2 linked regions of the Caenorhabditis elegans genome follow. The protein of the gene in region 1 interacts with the protein of each later gene in a pairwise test. Each region holds a gene or a part of one and is shown in the gene's direction. Other genes may lie near its edges.

What was found. The genes of interacting proteins can lie anywhere in the genome.
Region 2: the proteins of cyp-13A7 (region 1) and F53B7.4 interact in a two-hybrid assay, tested with the Caenorhabditis elegans proteins (one large-scale study listed by BioGRID).

What each region holds. Positions count from the first base shown.
Region 1 is NC_003280.10:9,799,505-9,807,433, forward strand, and holds cyp-13A7 (Putative cytochrome P450 CYP13A7), read left to right. Parts: upstream 1-4,115; coding exon 4,116-4,301; intron 4,302-4,356; coding exon 4,357-4,688; intron 4,689-4,742; coding exon 4,743-4,842; intron 4,843-4,889; coding exon 4,890-5,446; intron 5,447-5,516; coding exon 5,517-5,660; intron 5,661-5,705; coding exon 5,706-5,943; 3' UTR 5,944-6,009; downstream 6,010-7,929. Other genes in the region: cyp-13A5 (Putative cytochrome P450 CYP13A5), read right to left, coding at 1-52, 110-209, 271-602, 649-834; cyp-13A6 (Putative cytochrome P450 CYP13A6), read right to left, coding at 1,356-1,599, 1,645-1,788, 1,853-2,409, 2,453-2,552, 2,600-2,931, 3,038-3,217; cyp-13A8 (Putative cytochrome P450 CYP13A8), read right to left, coding at 6,123-6,351, 6,449-6,592, 6,640-6,896, 6,946-7,242, 7,310-7,409, 7,460-7,606, 7,673-7,929. UniProt on the Caenorhabditis elegans protein: Cytochromes P450 are a group of heme-thiolate monooxygenases. They oxidize a variety of structurally unrelated compounds, including steroids, fatty acids, and xenobiotics.
Region 2 is NC_003283.11:10,998,067-11,005,832, reverse strand, and holds F53B7.4 (Low-density lipoprotein receptor domain class A), read left to right. Parts: upstream 1-3,298; coding exon 3,299-3,369; intron 3,370-3,433; coding exon 3,434-3,659; intron 3,660-3,702; coding exon 3,703-3,841; intron 3,842-3,890; coding exon 3,891-3,979; intron 3,980-4,026; coding exon 4,027-4,126; intron 4,127-4,171; coding exon 4,172-4,277; intron 4,278-4,432; coding exon 4,433-4,611; intron 4,612-4,653; coding exon 4,654-4,844; 3' UTR 4,845-4,870; downstream 4,871-7,766. Other genes in the region: Protein isy-1, read left to right, coding at 5,153-5,224, 5,291-5,365, 5,409-5,563, 5,611-6,112; nssp-65 (Activin_recp domain-containing protein), read right to left, coding at 6,204-6,411, 6,554-6,696.

The sequences.
Region 1 (7,929 bases):
TCGGGAAAATACCAGAAACTAGGAAAGGTAGTTTACGACCATCTTTGAAAATCTAAAATTATAATTTTTGTTATGCTTTTGATGGAATTCAGTACAAAATGCAACTTACTCCTTTCACCTTAGGAAGCATTGGATTTCTAAACATCAGCGATTCTGTTTGACCCATTGCAATTCTTCCAATGATGTCAAGAGTGAATTCTTGGTAGTAGCTGCAAATTGTTTTTTTGTAAATGTTTTGCATCTTCTCAATATTTTTAATTAAAGACTTACTCTAATAAATCTACAGCTTTTCCTTTTGCACTTGCATCGTCCAAATGTCTCATCAACTCTACTACAGTTTCTTCTACAGTACTCATAATTTTTCTGAGGTTTTTATTTGAAAACGTAGGTGATGACAGAGTTCTCAACCGCTTCCAACGGTGCCCTTGAGCCGAGACAAGATGTGCTCTTTTGTTTTTATTTGGGTCTCCTTGAATGGGATTTGTCTTTCTTCCATAGAAATTATCAAACTGTTTCACAAATACTTCATGAACAAATTCTGGATTAGACACAATCAAAGTTTTTTCGACTCCTTCAGTAATACCATATATTGGTCCGTATTCCTGAATATGTGACTCGTTTTTGGTAAACACATAATTTTAAACTCACTTTTGTCCATTCTCCCAATTTCAACAGTCCTGGATTTTCATAGTCTTGGAACTCGTGAATCACTCCAAAAAATGGAAATCCACGGGGTCCTTTGACTCCTTTCCTGATCCAAAATGACCAAATCCAGATATAATATGTCAAAAGTCCAATAAACGAAGCACCAGCAATAAGTATACTTAAACTCATATTTTGGAACAAAATATAGTGTTTCTTCTATCTAGTCCAGAGAGTATTTATATACTAACCGACATATTTACCAAGGCCGTGGTCACAAAAATCATTTGACTTGCTTACTCACTCGGGTGTTTCTCGGCGCAACAAGTCACTATGATTTGTGTTTGAAAAATGGGAAATGAATGACGGAAAATTTGTGACTTGGAATTGGACAGAAGTGAAACAAGATAGTGTTTAGATGATGATTGATTAGCTAGGTAATTCATTTATGATATTTATTGTTAGAGTTTTTTGAAGTTGTTCAAGTAGAATAATGTTCTATACTCCAAAGACAACAACATTTTTTTTTTCATTTTTTTGTAAACCATTTTTTTGTAAACTATCAGTTTGTTTAACTGTTTTCAATATTAAATGTTCAATATAAAATTATGTTTGATTTTATTTTGATTTATTTATGGCTATTTTTCAATTAAAACATATCAGTAAAATAAATATTAATTAGACAATTTTTATACATGTAAAATTACAAAAAATTATGAATCTCTCGGCTCCAATTTCACAATTACACTTTCCGGCGAAAGTGTCAACTTTCCTACCAACTTCACCGGAATCTGTGTATTTTTTGTTGTTCTGAATGAGTATTCTTTGAGAATCTGAGCCAATAAAATCTTCTGCTCCATTTGAGCTAGTCTCATTCCAATGCACTGACGTGGTCCCGAGCCAAATGGAATGTACGATCCATTGTGCTCCAAATGCTCACAAGCTCCGTTTTCCCACCTGTAATATAGAAGATTGTGATGAAAACAAGATCACTAAGATTACCTTTCGGGTTTGAAGTCTTCTACGTCTTCTCCCCAAATTCTTGGATTGTGATGTAGTGTCCATGTGTCAACTTGAATGTTCATTCCCTCATCAAAATTCACCCCGTTGATTGTTGTCTCTCGCATACATTTTCTCGTGTTTGCTCTGTAAGATTATATTGTTCTCACTTTTTTTTAATTTTAAGCCAAAAATAGTCTTGTCAACTTACGTCGTTCCTAATGGATATAATCTCAACGTTTCTTTCATTACACACTCCAAATATTTCAGTTTCGATAAATGATCAAAGAAGATTTCGGGATCTGGACACTCTCTGTCCACTTCTTCTTGTAATTTTGTTTGGATTTCTGGATGTGTTGCAAGAAGATATGTAGCATATGAGAGAGATAATGCAGTTGTGTCAAAGCCAGCAGCTAAAAATACGAAACACTGTGCAATAATCTCATCGAAAGTCAACTCCTTGTTGATTTTTACAACGCTCGATTTTGCAAAATCTTCATTCGCCTCTCCGCTCAATATTTTCACGTCTGGAACTCGGGCATCAAGGAATAAATCAATAAAATCCTGAGGTTCTCCTGGCTCAACTCCTTTTATCTCATCTTTAGCTCGCTGATCAATTCTTGCCTGTACAGCTACTTCTATTAAATCGAAAATTTTGAAGGCTGGAATGAAACTTGCTGGTAGCATTTTTGACATTTTTCTGAAAACTCCTGCGAGCGGAGGAAAGATTCCAGTGATAAGGAACACATGCCAGGAACCGTTGAAAATCTGAAAACACTTGCTATTCTTCTTCAGAATATTATAAACATACGGCTTGAACTTTTGGCAGCAATGGGTTCTTGAACATGTTCGATTCAGACTGGCCAAGAGCAATGCGACTAATTACTCCCAGAGTGTACTCTTGATAGACTCTGAATTTTTATCATAAAACTTAATCACTTACAAAATTACCACTCACATTAACATATCAATATCTTCGTTCTTCCTCACTTTCTGCTCAATATTCCATAAAATTTCAGTTCCACATTCTTGAACAGAGTTCCTCACTTTTCGAAGACTGTTATTGGAAAAAGATGGACTTGACAGTGTCCGAAGACGTTTCCAACGTTTTCCTTGAGTCGAGAAAATATTGACTCGTTTGTCTTTTTCAGGATCACCAATGATTGGACGCAACTTTCGACCATAGAAATTGTCGAATTGTTTTTTGAATATTTCATTGACCATCTCTGGTTCCGAGATTATCATAGTTTGTTGGGGTCCTTCTGTGAAACCGTAAACAGGACCATATTGCTGAAAGTTTATTTTATTAGTTTTCATTGAAATTTAAAAGTTTTTGAAATTTTTGAAACTAGCAGAAATGCGAAAAGGTTTCTAAATTAAAAAAAAAACAACGCACTTTAGTCCAATCCCTGTACTTTAAAAACGGTGGATTCTCATGATCGATGGTCTGAATCAACATTCCAATTCCAGGGAATCCACGTGGACCTTTTATGCCCTTTCGAATAAAATATGACCAGATCCATACGGAGTATGTGAATACTCCTAGTAGAACTGCAGATAATAAAACGAAAATCATGTTTTTATTTTCAGGAATAAAAAAGAAACGTATTGATGTTTTTCGGTAGACCACCTTATAAATAGTATCGGTGGTAGAAACAACAGTCAGACACAAACAACACTTTTCCACACAAATGTGTCGACTGTTGAGATATAGTGTACTGATAAGAGAACATAGAGAATGGGGCAAGCACTTTTTGGAAGGTATAAAAGTTGTACCAATATTCTTCAAACTTTTCACTGCTCAAATGCAAAAAACATAAAGAGGTGATGGAGAGCAGATGGTAGTTAGAAAACTTTTTAAAAAATTAAAAATGATAATGGAGTTTAAAAAAAATATCAATATGTAGAAACAATAGAAAACTAGTTTTGTTTCAGAGATTTGGTTGATCTAGAATTTTAAAATTGTTCTTCATATCTAAAATTTCTTGAAAGAAAGTTAGGGATGAAAATGAGCACTGAAGCTGATAAATCCAAAAAAAAAACTTTTTTTCGTAAGATTAAAATTTTTTGCTTTTTTTCGGCAATTAATTTTTTTAAAACGAGAATATACATAATAGGTTTAGATTCACAAGCTACAAATATGTGACTGTAATAATTATAAAACCATCAGATAGTTTTCAAAAATTGATAAAAGTTTGAAAAAACATCCTCTAAACTTTATTCGAAAATTGAGAATACATTCTAAAGTATCCAGACTACGAATTTTGAAACAAAATCTTCTTGATTGCTGGGTTTCTCCAAATCATACGATTCTTGTCACCCACTTTCTTGTTCTATTAAACACAAACCATAATGTTTTGTGCGACAAGAAGATAAGACTAAAAACTAACTTAACAGATGATCGACAAAAAAGTATATAAATAATGCCACATATTACACAATTTAATTTAATTTAATTTTTTTTGAAACTAGACATGAGTTTCAGTATACTCATAGCTATTGCAATATTTGTTGGAATAATTTCCTATTATTTATGGATTTGGTCATTCTGGATTCGAAAAGGAGTCAAAGGGCCTAGAGGTCTACCATTTCTCGGAGTTATTCACAAGTTCACAAACTATGAGAACCCTGGAGCTTTGAAGTTCAGCGAATGGACAAAGGTAGAATGAATTTATTTATTTTACATTAATCATTAAGTAATGTTTAATATTTCAGAAATACGGACCTGTTTATGGAATTACGGAAGGTGTTGAAAAGACGTTGGTAATTTCGGATCCAGAATTTGTACATGAAGTTTTTGTAAAACAATTTGATAATTTCTACGGGAGAAAATTAACTGCAATTCAAGGAGATCCAAATAAAAACAAGAGAGTACCACTTGTTGCTGCTCAAGGCCATAGATGGAAGCGATTGAGAACTTTAGCTTCTCCTACTTTTTCGAATAAAAGTCTAAGAAAGATTATGGGTACTGTAGAAGAAAGTGTTACGGAGTTGGTCAGATCATTAGAGAAAGCAAGTGCGGAAGGAAAAACTCTTGACATGCTAGAGTATGTTTCAAAATAAAAAGTTTGGAACTGTTTAGACAATTAACTTTTTTAAAGATATTACCAAGAATTCACAATGGATATTATTGGAAAAATGGCAATGGGACAAGAAAAATCCTTAATGTTTAGAAACCCAATGCTAGATAAAGTCAAAACGGTTTGTGGAATGACTTGATTTTAAATAATTTATTTCAAATTTTTCAGATTTTCAAAGAAGGACGAAACAATGTTTTTATGATCTCTGGAATATTTCCTTTCGTTGGAATTGCTCTACGCAACATTTTTGCCAAATTTCCATCACTTCAAATGGCTACCGATATTCAAAGTATTTTGGAGAAGGCTTTGAACAAACGACTGGAACAAAGGGAAGCTGATGAGAAGGCTGGAATTGAGCCATCTGGGGAGCCTCAAGATTTCATCGATTTGTTTTTAGATGCTAGATCAACTGTAGACTTTTTCGAAGGCGAAGCTGAACAAGATTTTGCTAAAAGTGAAGTCTTGAAAGTGGATAAGCATCTGACATTTGATGAGATTATTGGACAACTGTTTGTTTTCTTGTTAGCTGGATACGACACGACTGCCCTTTCTCTGTCATATTCTTCATATCTCCTGGCAACACATCCAGAGATTCAGAAGAAATTACAAGAAGAAGTGGATAGAGAATGTCCAGACCCTGAAGTCACTTTTGATCAGCTGTCGAAATTGAAATATTTGGAATGTGTTGTGAAAGAAGCATTGAGATTGTATCCATTGGCGTCTCTGTTAGTTTTTTTTTAATTTCTAAGTTTTGCCGTGGTGTAGTTTGTTCTCTGTAATTAAAAAATAATTCAGTGTTCACAATCGAAAATGTCTCAAAACCACAAATGTTCTGGGAATGGAAATAGAAGCTGGAACAAATATTAATGTGGATACCTGGTCTCTTCACCATGATCCGAAAGTTTGGGGAGATGATGTTAACGAGTTCAAGCCGGAAAGGTTGGTTTTATTTGACAATTATTTATTTCATCAAATGTTCTACAGATGGGAGTCCGGGGATGAACTATTCTTTGCTAAAGGCGGATATCTTCCGTTCGGCATGGGACCAAGAATTTGTATTGGTATGCGATTGGCTATGATGGAAATGAAAATGCTTTTGACCAATATTTTGAAAAACTATACATTTGAAACCACACCAGAAACTGTGATTCCATTGAAGTTAGTCGGAACTGCTACTATTGCGCCATCAAGTGTGCTGCTCAAACTTAAATCCAGGTTTTGAAATGTGTTTTGTACGGATTGTTGTCTTTGTTTATATATTTACCCAATAAATTTGTATGTTCACGTATTTAAAAGCACAAACTTCTATGTCAGTTACTTAAAAAATTAAATTTAAAGCTATTTGTATTAAGTTGAAGAAAGTTAAAACAACATGGAGGGATTAGGAAAGGTATATTATAATCAAACTCTCGGCTTCAATGACAAGAACAAGTTTTCAGGCCTTGCAGTTGCTCGGCCTACTAATTTAATCGGAAGCTGTGTCTTCGCATTTGTCTCGAAAGTATATTTTTTGAGTATATGTGACAATAATCCTTTCTGCTCCAAAAGTGCAAACCGCATTCCGAGACATACTCTGGGTCCAGCACCAAATGAGAGGTATGCTTGTTGAGGAGTTAATGGAGAGTCCCATCTAAAAATATTTTTAAATTACTTTTTCATAGAATCTTGATAGACGTCACTACGCTCTTGAAAAATCTTTCTTAAAGTACGCATCGAAAATATCTTACCTTTCAGGCTTGAACTCTTCTACGTCATTTCCCCATACATTTTTGTCATGGTGAAGAGTCCAGGTGTCGATCATCACATCAACACCAGCTTCTACAATTTGCTCTCCGATAACCGTATTTCTCATGCATCGGCGGGAGTTTGCACTGAAAGTAAAATATATTTAATTTGTAAGTAAACATTGGAAACTCACAAAGAAGCAAATGGGAACAATCTTAATGACTCCTTGATCACATTATCCATATATTTCAATTTTGAAAGCTGATCAAATGTGATCTCATCATTTGGACATTCTTTGTCTACTTCGTCTTGTAACTTGCTCTGAATTTTTGGATTCAATGCCAAGAAGTATGTAACATAGGAAAGGGAAATGGCTGTAGTATCAAATCCAGCAACTAAAAATACAAAGCACTGGCTAATGATTTCTTGAGTGGTCAGTTGTCGGTTATTCTGAAATTGAAGGAATTTATAAAAATCACTATGTTAATTTCAAGCTTACATAGGAGGATGATTTATGGAATTCGTCATTGCTTTCACCAAAATGTTCAACTTCGGCTCTTGCATTCAAAAACATATCAATATAATCAGCGGCCTCTCCTGGCTCAACTCCATGTTTCTTATCGGCTTCTCGTTGAGCAATCCGGGACATCACTGCGTCCGTTACCGATTTTTGCACGACAATAAAGGGACCAGCTCCGAACTTGCCTACTTTAATGAACAACCATTTGAGAAAAGACACAGCAAATGGAAATCCTCCACTGAACATCCAGATCTGCCAGCGGTTGTGCTCGAAGAACTGTAAAAATACATTTTTGTTAAACTTTTAAAATTAAAAATCAATCCAACAAAGGAGATGAACCTACCCCTTTAACATCCTTTAATAATGGATTTTTAAACATTTGGGAGTCGGGTTGTCCCATGGCAACTCTGGAGATCACGTCAAAGGTGTACTCCTGGTAGAAACTAAAATTTAACAGTAAAACACCTTAATTAGACCGCTATGAACAACTTACAGATGCATATTGACTGCTTTTCCATTCTCTGATTCTTCTCTTAATTTTTTCATAAGCTCCTGTGTGCTATCTTCCATTGTAGTCAATACTTTTTTGATACTGCCATTTGAAAATGCAGGTGCCGTGATTGTTCGGAGACGTTTCCATCTGAAAGTTATCAATTAAAATATGCGAGTGGCAGGCAAGCCAGCACGTCTGAAGTGGTCTCCTTACCTAAAACCTTGAGCTCCAACAATATGAATATCCTTATCCTTATCTGGATCTCCTTGAACTGGATTATGCTTTCTTCCATAAAAATTATCGTACTGTTTCACAAGGATTTCCTGAACCAAATCAGGATCTGAAATCACCATGACTTTCTGCATTCCTTCAGTGAATCCATAAATTTTTCCATATTCCTTTGTCCATTTTTGAAGAGTGTAACCCGGTGGGAAACTATCCTCCAGCATAGCTCCAGCTTTTCCGAAAAT
Region 2 (7,766 bases), on another chromosome or scaffold:
ATTAAAAGTGGTACTTGCTCTTTTTTGTCCGAAATGCTGGCCGATCATTGATAAAGGGAACTTGAGTAGCCTTTGAGTGTGTTTGTTTTTGTTTGTCACTCTTACCACCCTACATTATCTTTCCGGTCATTGTTTATCAAGTGTGGCAAATGATGATGAACAACACTGGAGATTGAGAAGACAAATTATTGTAGCAACTAATAATTAATATTTGAGTGTTCTTCTGTCTAGATTTCAACATTTTCTCCGAGTTGACTAAAAGTAAAAGGAAACAACGGAAATGAGTAATTTGTCTATTTAATGGAACACGAGGGGTTAAGTTAAGAAATAGGCATACAGTGATAGAGAAAAGCGTCAAAAAAGTATATGAGTGGGTTGAGACAACAATGAATGGAATGAAGAATGATGATGAGTAAGTGATGAAAGAATGTTAGAGGTCACGTGCTATCATTTCGACCTAAAGATTTTCGAGGAACCTTTGAGATGTTCAGCTAATAGACAAAATATGACGTTTTATTTAAGAATGTTTGTGTTACAACATATTCATTGGACAACTTGCAAACTTTGATACGAAATCATTGAAACATCAAGGGGACCAATGTAGCAATTTTAGTGCATTCAGTTTTACCAAACATCACTAACATTTGATCAACGTTTCATCTTTATTTTTTATGTGCAAAATTCTATGGTTTTATTATTTTTGGGGAGCAAATTTTCTAGAAATTTGAGAGCAACTTAAGCGATTATCTGCTTTAAAAATCTGAAATTAAATTTTTTAACAGTAGTACGAAATTCAACAAAACGGCAGAATTTTATAACGAGACTGCACAATGAATTATCAAAAAAGTTTTATGATGACTCAACATGTCTTTTTAAAGATTCAACCATTAAAATTAATTAAGAGGAACATTCCATGCCATGTAAACAACAAAAATCTGCAAAACCAAAACTTAAAAACTTTGAGCCTTCATAAAATGTTTTGGAAGTTGACTTCAAGCTATTACTTCAATCGTTTGAGCACATTTTCAATCTTCATAATAAAAACCCAGAGCCGTAACTCCCTTGAAATTAATAAAAAAAAACAACAAACTCAACTTCTGCCTTGTGAAATTTCAATCTGAAGTTTATCATCCACACATTATCTATTAAAGTTATTTTCTTTTTTTTTCAAAATTTGAAACATTTTGAATTGTTTTCAAAAAGTCTACAAGCTTTAGTTTGAAAAATGGAAAATTATTTTTATTACTTAACTCGTAAATCAAAAATCACTGAAACTCTTCCTTCGTTTTCAACATAAATCTATTAATGGGACACAAAAAACGTTCTCTGATTATTAATGTGCAAACGGCTAGTTTTTTTTCTATTAATATGTTTCCGATTCCCACATCAAGTTAACATAACGAAAATAGAAAAAAGTGATCCAAAGTTTCCCACACTTATTCTCTCGAAATAGAATATAAGCCATGGCTAACCATTAGTGCGGATTGAAATGGACTGATAATGACATTTGAAGGGATTTGTACAAAGTATATGCAAATAATCCCCGCACACCATTAAAAAGGTAAGGAATTACAAATATCTAATTTGGAAACTATTGATAAGATTATGACGACAGCAGATTTTATTAAAATATATCCAGTTTGCAATTGTATATTTTCTGGATAACCAACCAACTTTTACGTCTTTTGCGGGAACACATCAAGTGACGAATCTGAAATGCAAGAGGAATTTTCTATTGATCATGTACAAGTTTCAGTTTGGCGAAGACACTGATCTTGCAAAAAAGAACCGGAATAGTACATCTGCAACAACTTAATTATGTTCGATCATTGATGAAAGTGCAATGAGGCTTATGCTCAACCTACTTTCTGTTGATCAGTGTGTCATGACTACAGAACTGATAATAGGCAGAAAATAATAAAACTCACAAGATGTGATTTTAGATATCAGCTTAGGAGCAAACATTTATAGAGTTTTTCCTTCTCATTAGACATATTGAAAGCGTGGCAATCTAAAAAATGTAACGTCAGTGTTTTTCCAAAAATCATACTGTAGGAAAATATTACTTCCGAGAAATGAGATTGCGATGTTTATTAGGCCACGAATTATGAAAAATCTGAAAACACGTTTACAAGAAGTGTTCATTTTAATCAGCTCCGAAATGTAAAATATTTTTGGAAAATCAGGTCAAAGATGTTTTTTGAAGGTTTACATCAGTGCTGTGCGGCTCTTGAAAAAGTCGGCTCTCGGCTCGCGCCGAGAGCCGAGTCGAAATTTTTTTTCGGCTCTCGGCTCTCACCAAAAGCCGAAAAAGGTCCAAAATGCCGGCTCTCGGCTCGCGTCGAGAGCTGAAAAACACCTAATTTTCGGCAAAAATCCCAATTTTTCGGCTCTTGGCGGGCGCCAAGAGCCGAGTCCCATCATTCTATGCGGCTCTCGGCTCGCGCAGAGAGCCGAGAGCCGCACAGCACTGGTTGACATCCAAAATTTTACAGATCACTATAAAAAGTTGATTTATCTTCTATTTGGAATATCCACGGGTAGTCAGCGTATCGCGTCCTAGTTCGGTCTCGGGAATTCATGTCAGTACACATTATTTTGTAGTATGCCACCCCGACAGGTTTTTTTTTCTGGAAGCAGAATACAAAACGCTCATATTGGTTATTTTCAGAAACCTTGTATTGTAATGATTGCCAGACGTCAAGCAAAATACTATGTCGATCGATTTCTGTCGCATTCTATTTCAGATTATTGTCAACTCGAAAAACTGCCGTTCTCGTAATAGTTCGATCATTGTTCGCACCTCGTCGATAAAAAGTTCTGCTGTTCCGATATTCCGAGCTATGGAAAACTTTTAAAAAACATTAAAAAACAAGCTACTCTGAATTCAGCAATGCCCAATGAAATTTAACAATGTTAATTTTCAGTGTAACATAATATTAAGCTAACAGACATTTCAATAACAAAACGGTAATTCAATGTTTCAAAACGTTTGAAAAATACCAATTATCTTGCAAGAATGATTGTGGAATTAAAAAACATGATATTCTTTCAGTGAAATCGTGCAATCAGCCAATTTCCCAGTTTCACTATCAATTATCAAAATCGTTTCCGCATTTTTCAATTATGTGTTATATTTAAAAATAAAGGGTAAACGAACTTGAGTGGGGAATTGAAGATGATGTGCATCCGGAATGCATTTTCTTTCCGAATTGATGAAAAATATTGAATCTCAATGACTTCTTCACCCACCTTTTCGTTTTCTTGCCATGCGTCTTTTTTTTTTTAGATTTCCGAAATGTTTCTCAATTTGACATTTATTTTATTTTTCATAACTATAGAAGCAAATGCTTATTGCCCTTTTAAAAAGTAAGATTAATGTTTGAAGTCAATTTTTAAGAAAATGAGATCATGAGAATTCGTAAGTTTTCAGAGCATACGTCGATGATATTTTAATGATAACAACTGATGATTACTTATCTGTTGGGCAAGATGAAACATCCGAAGTTTGTGAAATTGAAATTCAAAGTCTAAATGGAAATCTTATACTTGTTTCCATTACCAATTTCCTTATGTTTTCCCATAGAAGACCACGGAATCCAAATGAAATTATATTACGAAACTCTGATATGCAGTTCATTGTGGACAGCAAGCCAAAGGTTAGATTACCGTAACAGTTACGAGAAATTATTAAAATTTTAGGGTTATCAATTAATGAAAACTCCAGTATGGTTGACAATTCCAATGAATCTGAATTTCCGATCGATTTTATTGTTTTCAAATCCAAAGGAATGCTCTTCATATGAGTCTATCAGATGTCCAGAATACAGCCTATGCTACAGTAACCTCATTTTTCACACAAAAACTGTTTTACCATTACTGATTTCTAGATTGCTCCAAATACTGTTTTTCTTCGAGTCTAGAATGTGATGGATTGGATACTTGCGGAGAAGATGAATCAACTTGTGCATTTATTACTGTAAGAAATGGTTTCAGAGATTCGAAACATTTATTTTATTTTTACAGCCACGTACACCTCACACTTCATACAGATATGGTAGAGATGCTTTATCATCAAGTCAGATTATGTTAATTGGATTCTTCGCTTTAAATGGATCATTTATAGGTGGATTCACATTTTCGAAAAAAAAAGATAACTTTTGGTTTACAGTATTCTTTCTGATATTATCACTATGTTCTGCCGGATTGTTCTATCGTTGCCCATTTTATGCCAAAAACAGCAACGCGTCTCGGCACACTTTTATTCGATATCTTCGGTGAGTCAACATGTCTGAAGTAGTATTATATTCAAAATAAATATCCCATCCGACACAAATAAAACAACTTTTTATGAGCTTAGAGCGTCTGAAAGATTAACCATAAAGCTCAAGGAAATACTTCCTTATTTAGTCTTAATTCTATATTATTGTAGACAAGCAATTCCTCCTGCACTTGCTCCACCACCTTCAGTTCAAGGGGACCAACCAAAAGATGAAGGAGAAAAGACATTAACTGTTCCGTCTACACCTACAGGTCATACACGACATCGTCATTCAATTCTGAGCAGGATTAATTTTCAACCTGCTCCTGCTTTGAGTGAAATTGAACCTGGTATTTGACAAAATTAGCTACTAAAACCATAATTTTCTTTAGAAGTGGAGGACAGAGAGCAATCACCACAAGAATCAATTTGTGAACCACCTGCACATCAGCCAGAAGTATTCCTTCGACGGCAAAGTCTTCCATTTGGACTCACTGCAGTTCCAGTCTCAAATGATTTAAATTCCAAAACTGATGATAAACGAAATAGATTCGCTTCAAGAGCTATGTCTTTTCAACATTAAATGAACTTATTTGTAATAAAGCTTTTACATTTATGATTTGTTTTCAATCAGAAAGAAACACTTTAAAAATTGCTCAATGATTGAAGGGTGTAAAATATTGAATTTGAATAACCGCCAATTGCTGCACAACGATACTCCGCTATTGCGCGAAAGTGCGCTCTATTTAGAAAATTTCATTTTCAAACATTTATTTTTTCGAAACAAAAATGCTCAATTTACTTTATATTTTTGTTTGATTCTGCTTTTATATCTTTTTATTTAATTTCGCAATTAAATTTAATTGTTTCAGACTTACTCGAGCTTTAAAAATGGCCCGAAATGCGGAAAAGGCTATGACGGCGCTAGCACGATGGCGAAGAATGAAGGAGGAAGAGGAGAGGGTAAGTTTTTCTTTTCATTTTACTCTTTTTTTTTGAATATTAATATCAAGATAATTTTAATTGCAGGGTCCTATTGCCAGAAGACCCCACGATGTGAAAGATTGCAGGAATTTGTCAGATGCTGAGCGATTCAGACGAGAGGTTAGATTTTGTATGAAAACCTGTAATTTTGAACTTTATTTAGATTGTGCGAGATGCTTCGAAAAAGATCACAGCTATCCAAAATCCTGGTCTCGGTGAATTCAAGCTTCGGGACTTGAATGACGAAGTTAATCGACTGATAAAACTGAAACATGCTTGGGAACAACGTATTCGAGAGTTGGGTGGTACGGACTATCGGTAAGAAAAATGACAATTAGACATATTATTCTTATTATTATTTTCAGAAAGTATGCACAAAAAGAACTCGATGCAATAGGGAGGGAAACGGGCAATTCCCGAGGTTACAAATATTTTGGAGCTGCAAAAGATCTTCCCGGTGTACGCGAACTATTCGAAAAAAGCACAGAAGGTGAAGAACAACGACGCCATCGTGCTGATTTATTGAGAAATATCGACGCTCACTATTTTGGTTACTTGGATGACGAAGATGGTCGCTTAATTCCTTTGGAAAAACTAATTGAAGAGAAAAACATTGAACGAATCAATAAGGAGTTTGCCGAGAAACAAGCTCAAAAGCAACAAACTGCTTCCGATGCAGCACCTGAAAATATCTATAAGGTCGAAGAAGACGATGACGACGACCTGGAAACTCAAGAGTCTACAGTCATCGGAGAGGATGGACGACCAATGACTATTCGTCATGTTCTACTGCCAACTCAACAAGACATTGAAGAAATGCTTTTGGAACAAAAGAAGCAAGAACTCATGGCTAAGTATCTGGATTGATTCCTTGTTTAATTTATTTTCTTTAAATTTTTCATCTCAAATTATGAATTTTCGGTTTTATTCATTTATTTTATTAATTCATAATAGAAAATTACAAAATTAGAAAAATGAAAGAAGATAATACAAGTAAACTGAGCGGCATCGTCGTTCGTGATGATGTGTTGCAGAATTCTCTGTGCGAACACATACACGCTATCTCAGATAACGATATCCTTTTGCAACCTTCTGGATAGTATGTGTGAATAAGTGTATCGTGAGGAAGGCAAGTGAGAGCAATTGAGACTCTGTTTAGATGGTTTCTGAAAATTAAGTTTGGAACTATTCAAATATAGAAATTGATTTTAAGTCAAGGTTTTGTAAGGTTATTTATTTAAATTTATTTTTGGTTAAAAAAATAGTTTTCCATTTGGATGGAAGGTTAAAAATTTGAGATCTTCCAACCTCTGAACTCGAAGACAAGCTGCTCCTTCGCACAATGAGCATGTATTAGATATCGCACAATCTGAACCGTCAAGGCACCACATCTGATGACTGTCACGACACAGAATTACAATGACAAGAAGAATTGAGACGCCGACGGTCATCGGCGCTCGAGCATGACCGGCTGAAAGTGGTGTCTGAAAAACTGACCAATACGAGTGAAGTTTATGGACATCAAGAGAGATGATGAATTGAGAATAATGTGTATTTGGGTAGAAGAAAGTTCCGTTTTATAAGTGAAAATCGATGAAAAACAGTAAAACAAAGAAATGGGAGGAGCCTATTTAGGGAATTCCGCACGTTGCACTTTTTTCCGTTTTGAACCTACCTAAAATTTAGATTATCTGTTTGACTGTAGACATGAACAATTGAAAAAAGATAGAATGGCTGATCACAATAATACTTTGAAAATAGGCTCCGCCCAGATCTTGGCTTTTTGAGCTTTCTTGGATTTAATTTTTTTTTCTAACTTTTGTCTTATATTCTCACAACTCCGGCGCGATCCCCTTCCCGAGACTACAGTATTCCTACAGTAACCCTACAGTATACAGTACCTTTACCGTACTACAGTACCTAGATCCTATCTCCACAGTAACTTCTGCTCACTATCCCATCAAAAGCCAGAAGTTCATTAACTGCAATGTCTAAAAACTGCCTGGATTTAGAAAAACAATATTCAACACTAAAAGTTTATATTGTTGAATCAGGAAATTCCGTCACATGACAATTTGATAAAACATTCATATCAAAAAGAATTCGGCGAATTCTATCGGCAGGTGAAAAAAACTCAAACTCCGACTTTTGATATAATACTAGTAATTCACTTAGTGGTCACCCCGTACACCGCCCCGTGAATAGAATAAAACAAGGAAAATGGGGGTGGTTGTTGTAGAGTATTCTTACTAGGCAATAGTAGTAGTATCAAAGTTAGTGACAAGCGGTCCATGATGAAGGAATAAAGTGTGTCGGTGAAGAAAAGGGAGAAGGCATGGCAAAAGGGACGGACAGACGGACACGACCTATGAATGAATCTATGAATTTGAGATGGAATATTTCATATCGACTTTTGCCACCCTGAAGTGTTGTTAGATGGAGACAAACAACTCTCTTTGAAAACTGTTGTTCAATTCTTTTGAAAATTGAAAAATACTCTTGTTAATCGGATTAACTGATG